Oryctolagus cuniculus: one gene and its partner. Each later gene encodes a partner of the first gene's protein in a complex. Links are inferred from orthologs where the notes say so. Each region holds a gene or a part of one and is shown in the gene's direction. Other genes may lie near its edges.

The links.
Region 2: the proteins of GLE1 (region 1) and NUP42 are in contact, whole or in part, in a crystal structure (PDB 6B4I), measured with the Homo sapiens proteins. The link is inferred for Oryctolagus cuniculus from reciprocal best matches to the Homo sapiens genes GLE1 and NUP42. Residues at the interface, in NP_001003722.1 of Homo sapiens: Ile385, Ile593, Leu598, Asn599, Trp602, Arg603, Ala606, Gln607, Leu609, Asn610, Gln636, Tyr637, Gln638, Val639, Gln640, Lys643, Met644, Ile646, Leu647, Glu650, Asp651, Tyr652; in NP_001357375.1 of Homo sapiens: Asp185, Asn186, Val187, Leu188, Phe189, Gln202, Phe203, Gln204, Ser205, Lys206, Lys207, Phe208, Leu210, Gly211, Lys212, Ile213, Pro214, Leu215, Lys216, Pro217, Pro218, Leu222, Leu223, Asn224, Val225.

What each region holds. Positions count from the first base shown.
Region 1 is NC_091432.1:231,797,113-231,800,761, forward strand, and holds part of GLE1 (mRNA export factor GLE1), read left to right. Parts: intron 1-842; coding exon 843-985; intron 986-1,070; coding exon 1,071-1,261; intron 1,262-2,136; coding exon 2,137-2,266; intron 2,267-3,649. UniProt on the Homo sapiens protein: Required for the export of mRNAs containing poly(A) tails from the nucleus into the cytoplasm. May be involved in the terminal step of the mRNA transport through the nuclear pore complex (NPC).
Region 2 is NC_091447.1:15,174,986-15,178,634, forward strand, and holds the end of NUP42 (nucleoporin NUP42), read left to right. Parts: intron 1-2,099; coding exon 2,100-2,184; intron 2,185-2,706; coding exon 2,707-3,281; 3' UTR 3,282-3,547; downstream 3,548-3,649.

The sequences.
Region 1 (3,649 bases):
CCTGCTTCCTGCTACCGTGCACCCTGGGAGCAGCACACAGTGGCTCGAGTAGATGAGCCCCTGCTACCCACGCTGGAGACTTGGGTCGAGTTCCTGCTCCTGGCTCTGGCCTGGCTCAGTTCCAGCCATGTAGGCATTTGGGAAGTAAACCAACAGGTGGAAGATTTCTCAGTCTTATCTCTTTGCCTCTTAAATAAATTTTAAAAATCAATACATTTGGGAAAAAATTTTTTATTGCAGGCAGTGGCAGGAATGGGGCTAGCCACTTTGGTTCTCTTTTTCTCTCGTCTTTCCTCTGTACGTCTCCGTTCTTGTCAACGGGCAGCTGCTCTTGTCCACAGGACACATGCAAGGCCCCTGCCCGCAAGCACGAGTTACAAGGCCTGCTGCTTTACCACCTGCAACCTCATATCGTTGGGTGGAGAGGGGTGGGGCACTCAAGATCTCTGAGGCATGCTAGTGACAGGGACCCATGTCTGAGTTTCTGAGGACGTTGGACGTTAGCCCCTTGGAAGAACCATGAGCTGGCTCCTCTATGAGATCTGCAATGCAGAATTCAATGCCTGTTTGCTGCTGTTTATGTCTTTGCTTCACGTGTCAGTTTCAGAATGACTGGGTTCCCACATGAGACACTCATCCGGAGTAGTGCCGTCCATGACTTTGCACCCCACACCCTGTGTTCTGCTGTCCTCCTTTCTTCTGTGTCCGTGTTTTGTCTTCAGGCTCTGAACCTCTCTGGGACTGCACGGCTGGACTGCATGGACGCTTTGTTATTACAGTGTTGGGAAGAAGCCCGAGCTGCAGGTGTAGCTGTTAACTGACCTTTTCTGTGTCATGTCTAGGCTCGAAGCTGAAGGAGATCTTTGACAAGATTCACAGTCTGCTCTCTGGAAAACCCGTTCAGTCTGGTGGGCGCTCTGTATCCGTCACACTCAACCCACAGGGGCTGGATTTTGTCCAGTACAAACTGGCAGAGAAATTTGTGGTGAGAAAACCTTGCTCCTTGTAGGGGAGAAAAGGCTGGGAGACAGCGTTCAGGCCTCTAAGTCGGATCCATCTCTGTGTTCCAGAAACAAGGCGAGGAGGAAGTGGCCTCTCACCACGAAGCCGCCTTCCCCATCGCGGTGGTGGCCTCAGGGATCTGGGAGCTCCACCCCAGGGTGGGGGACCTCATCCTTGCTCATCTACACAGGAAGTGCCCTTACTCCGTCCCCTTCTACCCGGCTTTCAAGGAGGGAATGGCTTTGGAGGACTATCAGAGGTGAGGTGGCTTCCTCCTGACTTGCCCGCCCTACAGTGATGCGTGACTAGAAACAGCTGGAAGGTGTTTCCCCCCTACTCCCAGTGCCTCTGACGTACCCAGAGCGCACTGTCAGAAACAGCCTGTGGGCCGGCGCCGCGGCTCACTAGGCTAATCCTCCGCCTAGCGGCGCCGGCACCCCGGGTTCTAGTCCCGGTCGGGGCGCCGGATTCTGTCCCGGTTGCCCCTCTTCCAGGCCAGCCCTCTGCTGTGGCCAGGGAGTGCAGTGGAGGATGGCCCAGGTGCTTGGGCCCTGCACCCCATGGGAGACCAGGAAAAGCACCTGGCTCCTGGCTCCTGCCATCGGATCAGCGCGGTGCGCCGGCCGCAGCGCGCCGGCCGCGGCGGCCATTGGAGGGTGAACCAATGGCAAAAGGAAGACCTTTCTCTCTCTCTCTCTCTCTCACTGTCCACTCTGCCTGTCAAAAAATTAAAAAAAAAAAAAAAAAAAAAAAAAAAAGAAACAGCCTGTGGGTTTGGATTTAAGTCCAGTTAGTTTAGAGGAAGAACACTGGATCTGGAAGCCAGAGGTCTTGAATTTACCTCGCTTTTCACTTGGCAGCTTGGAAACAGTGGGCTAATCGTTCAGCCCCTGGGGCCTCAGTTCCCTCTTTATGAAAGGCAGTGAGGACCCCCTGCACCCCCTCGTTTACCGAGAGGCCTCCTCACGGGCTTACAGGGAGCACACGTCTGACAACAGATAGCAGTGCATTGTAGACCAAGTTTTCTACAGAAGTAGTGCTTTGTAATAGCATGTTCATAGCGGCAAAGGTGATGATACTCTGTTGTTGCTTTCAGCCGTGCACCGTCACACTGAATTGTTTATTCCCACACAGGATGCTTGGCTACCAGGTGAAGGATTCCAAGGTGGAACAGCAGGACACCTTCCTCAAACGCATGTCTGGGATGATCCGTCTCTATGCCGCCATCATTCAGCTCCGGTGGCCGTACGGAAACCGACAGGAGGTGAGGGGGAAAGGCTGGTGTCACCGAGGGATGTTCGCACCAGGCCCGTGTGGTGTTTGCCCTGTGCGGTGACTGACAAGGGGTGGGAGGCAGCTCTAGGTGTTGGCGGAGGATCAGATGCCAACACCTGAGACCTGAGCGCCTGCAGAGTGCACCGGGGAGAAGAGGAGTGAGCAAGAAATTGTCAGCGTAGACCTCCTTAGGCTAGAAATCACCTGGATCACACAGTTTCACTCGGGTGGCAGAGGGAGGCCTGACAGTGAGCCACGCCGCAGGGGCAGGCCTTTGCCCCACCAGCCCCATCCCTGCTCAAGGAATAGAAGAGATGAGCAGGGTGGACAGGCTAATGGACTTGAAGACCTAAAGAGGAAAGTACAAGTTGAGTGATTGTAGAAGTGTTTTTTATGTTTTTTTTGTTTTGTTTTGTTTTTTTTTTCAAAATTTCTTTATGGTATCTACAAGGCAGGGAATGGTTCATTCCCCAAATGACTGCAATAGCTAGGGCTGGGCCAGGCTGAAGCCAGGAACTTGAAACTCCATCTGGGTCTTCTCTGTGGGTGGCAGGGTTCCAAGTGCTTGGGCAGGTAACCAGGGAGCACATTAGCAGGAAATTGGAATTGGATGCAGCGCTGGGACTTGAGCCCAGGCAGGTTTGTAGGGGGTGTGGGCGTCCGAGCAGCATCTCAGTATCTGTCCCTCAGGAAGTCTTGATGGCGCACCCGCTGCGTCTCAGCTTTTGTGCCAAAGATCTCATGAAGAATGAATGAAATGTCAGCAAGGAAAACTGTCGGTCTGTGGAATCCCTGAAACTGAAGCCGACCCATGTGTATCAAAGGGATCCCCTACACCAAAATGTGTGGGTGGGTGTTTGACATAGCTGTTAAGATACTGCTGGTGTGCCGGGGTCCCACAGCGTGCCACCCCTGATTGCAGCTTCCTGCTGGTGCGCACGCTGGGAGGCTGCAGGTCTCAGCCACCCACACGAGACCTGGATTGAAATCCTGACTCCAGCCTGGCCCAGCCCCGGTTATTGCAAGCGTTTGGGGGAGTGACCAGTGGATTGGAGATCTCTGTCTCTAAAATAAGTGATATTTAAAAATTTTAAAAGAAGAGTGGTTTCAAAAATAAAAACAAAATGGGGCTGGCATTGTGTAACAGGTAAAGCTGCCACCTGTGACACGCATCCACTGTGGACGCCAGTTTGTGTCCTGGCTGCTGTACTTCTGATCCAGCTTCCTGCTCAGGGCCTGGGCAAAGCAGCGGAAGATGGGCCAAACGTCTGGGGTGCTACCACCCACCTGGGAGACCCAGCTGAAGCTCTTGGCTGTGGCCCTGCCCAGCTTTATCCATTGTCGCCATCTGAGGAGTGACCCAGCAGATGGA
Region 2 (3,649 bases), on another chromosome or scaffold:
TTCCACTGCTTTCTCAGGCCATACCGGAGAGCTGGATCAGAAATTGAGCAGCCAGGACTCAAACCGGTGCCTATGTGGGACGTCAGCACTGCAGGCAGTGGTTTTACCCACTATGCCACAGCGCCGGCCCCAGTAGTAACTGTTTAATGAGATAATTATATTCAAGCATTAAATTGCATATCCTATAGAGGTCTCTTTCTCCTATTGTCTAGATTTCTTTTTGTTTTAAGATTTATTTTATTTATTTGAAAGATAAGAGTTACAGAGAGAGGTAGAGACAGAGAGAGAGGTCTTCCATTCCACTGGTTCACTCCCCAGATGGCCGCAATGGCCACAGCTGAGCTGATCCAAAGCCAGGAGCCAGGATGCTTCTTCCAAGTCTCCCATATGGGTGCAGGGGCCCAAGGACTTGGGCCATCTTCTACTGCTTTCCCAGGCCATAGCAGAGAGCCGGATCGGAAGTGGAGCAGCTGGGACACGAACCCGTGCCCATATGAAATGCCAGCACTGCAGACGGGGGCTTTAACCCACTGTACCACAGCACCAGCCCCTAGATTTCTTAATAAATGCAGATCTTCCCTTATAATATAGATATCAAAGTGTACTATCAAGAATATTTTTCTGGGGGCTGATGATGTAGTGCAGCAGGTTAAGCTGCCGCTTGCAACCAAATCAGAGTGCCAGTTTGCGACCCAGCTGCTCTGCTTCCCATCCATCTCCCTGCTAATGCGCCTGGGAAGGCAGCAGAAGATGGCCCAACTACTTGGGCTCTTGTCATCCGTGTGGGAGAACAGTATGGAGTTTCTAGCTTCTGGCTTTGGCCTGACCCACCCCTGGCTATTGCCACCTTTTGGGGCAGGGACCAACAATGAAAGATCTCTGTCTCTCTTCCCCCTTCCCCCTCCCCCTCCCCCCACCCCCCGTTGCTCTACTTTTCAAATAAGTGAATAAATAAAGTATGTATGTACGTGTATATACCCATGCCCCATGGGTACAGGTGTTTAGCCTAGCAGATAAGATGCCTGCCCGCATTGGAAGGTCTGCATCTGATTCCCAGCTCTTGCTCTTGGCCCCAACTTTCTGCCAGTACAGACTCTGTAAGACAGCAGTAATGGCTGAAATAACAGGTTTCTTGCCACACATGTGGAAGTAAATAAGAATAAGCTATCTTTGTGATTATACATGCTCACGGTAGAAATTTTTTAAAAAACACAGATAACTCCCTCAGGGACTGGCATTGTGGTATTGTGGGTTAAGCTGCTTCCTGTAGTGCCGTCATCCCGTATGAACATGGGTTAGAGTTCCCTGCTAATGTGCCTGGAAAAGCAGTGGAAGATGGCCCGTCACGTGGAAGACCTGGATGGAGTTCCAGGTTTCTGGCCTCAACCTGGCTCAGTCCACATTGGGGAGTAAACCAGCAAATGGAAGAGATTTCTCTATGTGTGTCTGTCTCTTCCTCTTTCTATGTAACTCTGCCTTTCAAATAAATAATTTTTTTTAAAAGAAACAGTTAGAATTCATCAAACAGAGACCATCACTATTAACTTACTGATGTACATTTTTCTATATATATTTATATTATTAGTAGCTATAATTACATTGTTTATCCAGTATTTGAATTATATCCTATCCTTTTCAACATCATATTATGGGCACTTTTTCCATGTTAAACAATTAAACACATTAAACCTTATATATATGGTACACACACACACACACACACACGCACACTTGTTTGAGCGAGACAGACCAACAGGCTCCCATCTGCTTGTTTACCTGCAATGGGCAAGACTGAGTCAGGCTACAGCTGGGAGCTGGGAACTCAGTCCAGGTCTCCTACATGGGCAACAGGGGCCCAATTACTTGAGCCGTCACCTGTTGCCTCCCAGGGTGCAGGAAACTAGAATAAGCACCAGGGTGGGTTTCGAACCCAGGATTCCAACATGGGATTCAGGCATCCTAACCAGCAACTTGACCACAAGGCTAAACATTTAGCACACAATTTCACACTTTTATAAACACATATTTTAAAAACTGAATTTGGCTGTACAGTGTGGAGGAAAGGTACTTTATTATTTGCATACCATTTTTTTTTAAAGCTCTCTGATGTAAAGGATGGAATGAATCAAGCAGCCCCTACGTTTGGATTTGGCAGTGGGCAAACAACAACCTTTGGATCACCAGGTAAGTGATACATGCAGACCTTCACTGATTTAGAAAAGTCGAACTTAAAAGGCTTCAAGTTATAAAGCCGAATCACCCATGCAGATTCTCCCACCTTACATTAGGCAGCATGGAAGAACTGGCTTGTCAAGCATTTGTGTGAGCAAGGCCAGAATGGGCATGATGTTTAAAGGATCCTACGATTGGGGAATGATTATTTCAGGAGTTTCACAAGAATATGTAACTATGGTGGCAGCACTTTCGGGAGGTTTCTGTTGCTCTGTGTACCAGCAGGGCACTGTCATTACAGCTGTGAGATGGGGTGACAAGCTGCTGGTGAAGTCCACCCCCTGTTCCCTTAGCTTTTCCTTGGGGTTGGGGTAAACCAGAGTGGAAATGAGGCCCATAGTAGAAGAGACAGGGCTGTGGGGTTAGTGTGTTCTAACTTCCCAACCTCAAAACATGGCAGAAATAAGGACAGCAGGGAGTATAACATAGCCTTGTCTTCTGACTGTAATAGATTTTTCCTCCTGTATTTTGCAGGTTTTCCAGTGAAAAACAGCAGTAATAATGCTCAGGTCTTTAGCTTTAAACTAAACTCTGGATTTGGCACTGCCCCTTCTGGAAGCCAGTCAGTGTTTGGGGGTCCTCCAACGTTTGGAGCAGTCCCCTCTGCCGGTTCTGCCATCTCTACTTCCACTCCAACTTTCGGATTTGGGAAACCTGAAGTCACATCTGCTGCTTCATTTTCATTTAAAAGCCCTGCAGCTTCCAACTTTGGATCGCCAGGATTTTCAGGATTTCCGTCTTCCTTGGCGGCAGGCCCAGCCGGAGCCCCAGCAGCCCCAGCCTGTGGCAGTGGCGGTTCTGTGGCTGGTTTTGGTCATGTGAGCTCACAGTCACAGACTGCGTTCTCTAAGCCATCTAATGACATCTTTGGAAATGGCAGCATCTCCACCCCTCTCCCAGTATCAAATGTCATTGTCACAAAAGATAACGTGTTATTTACAGCCAAGGATCAGCTAACAGCAGAAGAACTGGAACAATTTCAATCCAAGAAATTTACTCTGGGAAAAATTCCACTAAAGCCACCACCTCTGGAGTTTCTAAATATTTAAAAGGATGCTTGCTTTTAAATGCAAAAAAGAATGTGTTTTGAAATTATTTTGAGCGGTTCATATGAAAAAGCAGACACACATATGCATATATGTACATATGTAGACATACACATAAGGAATATAAGGTTTTGCATTTTCACTTTTTTCTTAAAGCTAATTATTTAAGTAAAACAACAAAACTACTTAGCAAGAAGGGAAATTTTTTGTACTGTAATTATGAATACAGCTGAAAAATTTGCACTGAATAAAGTACTTTTCTCATTGTATACCACTTGTCTCACCCTTTAAAATGTTATCTTTAATTTTTTTTTAGGAAGGAGATAATTTATTGAGGGGAGATGCTCAAATGTTTAGCTTACTTGTAGGAT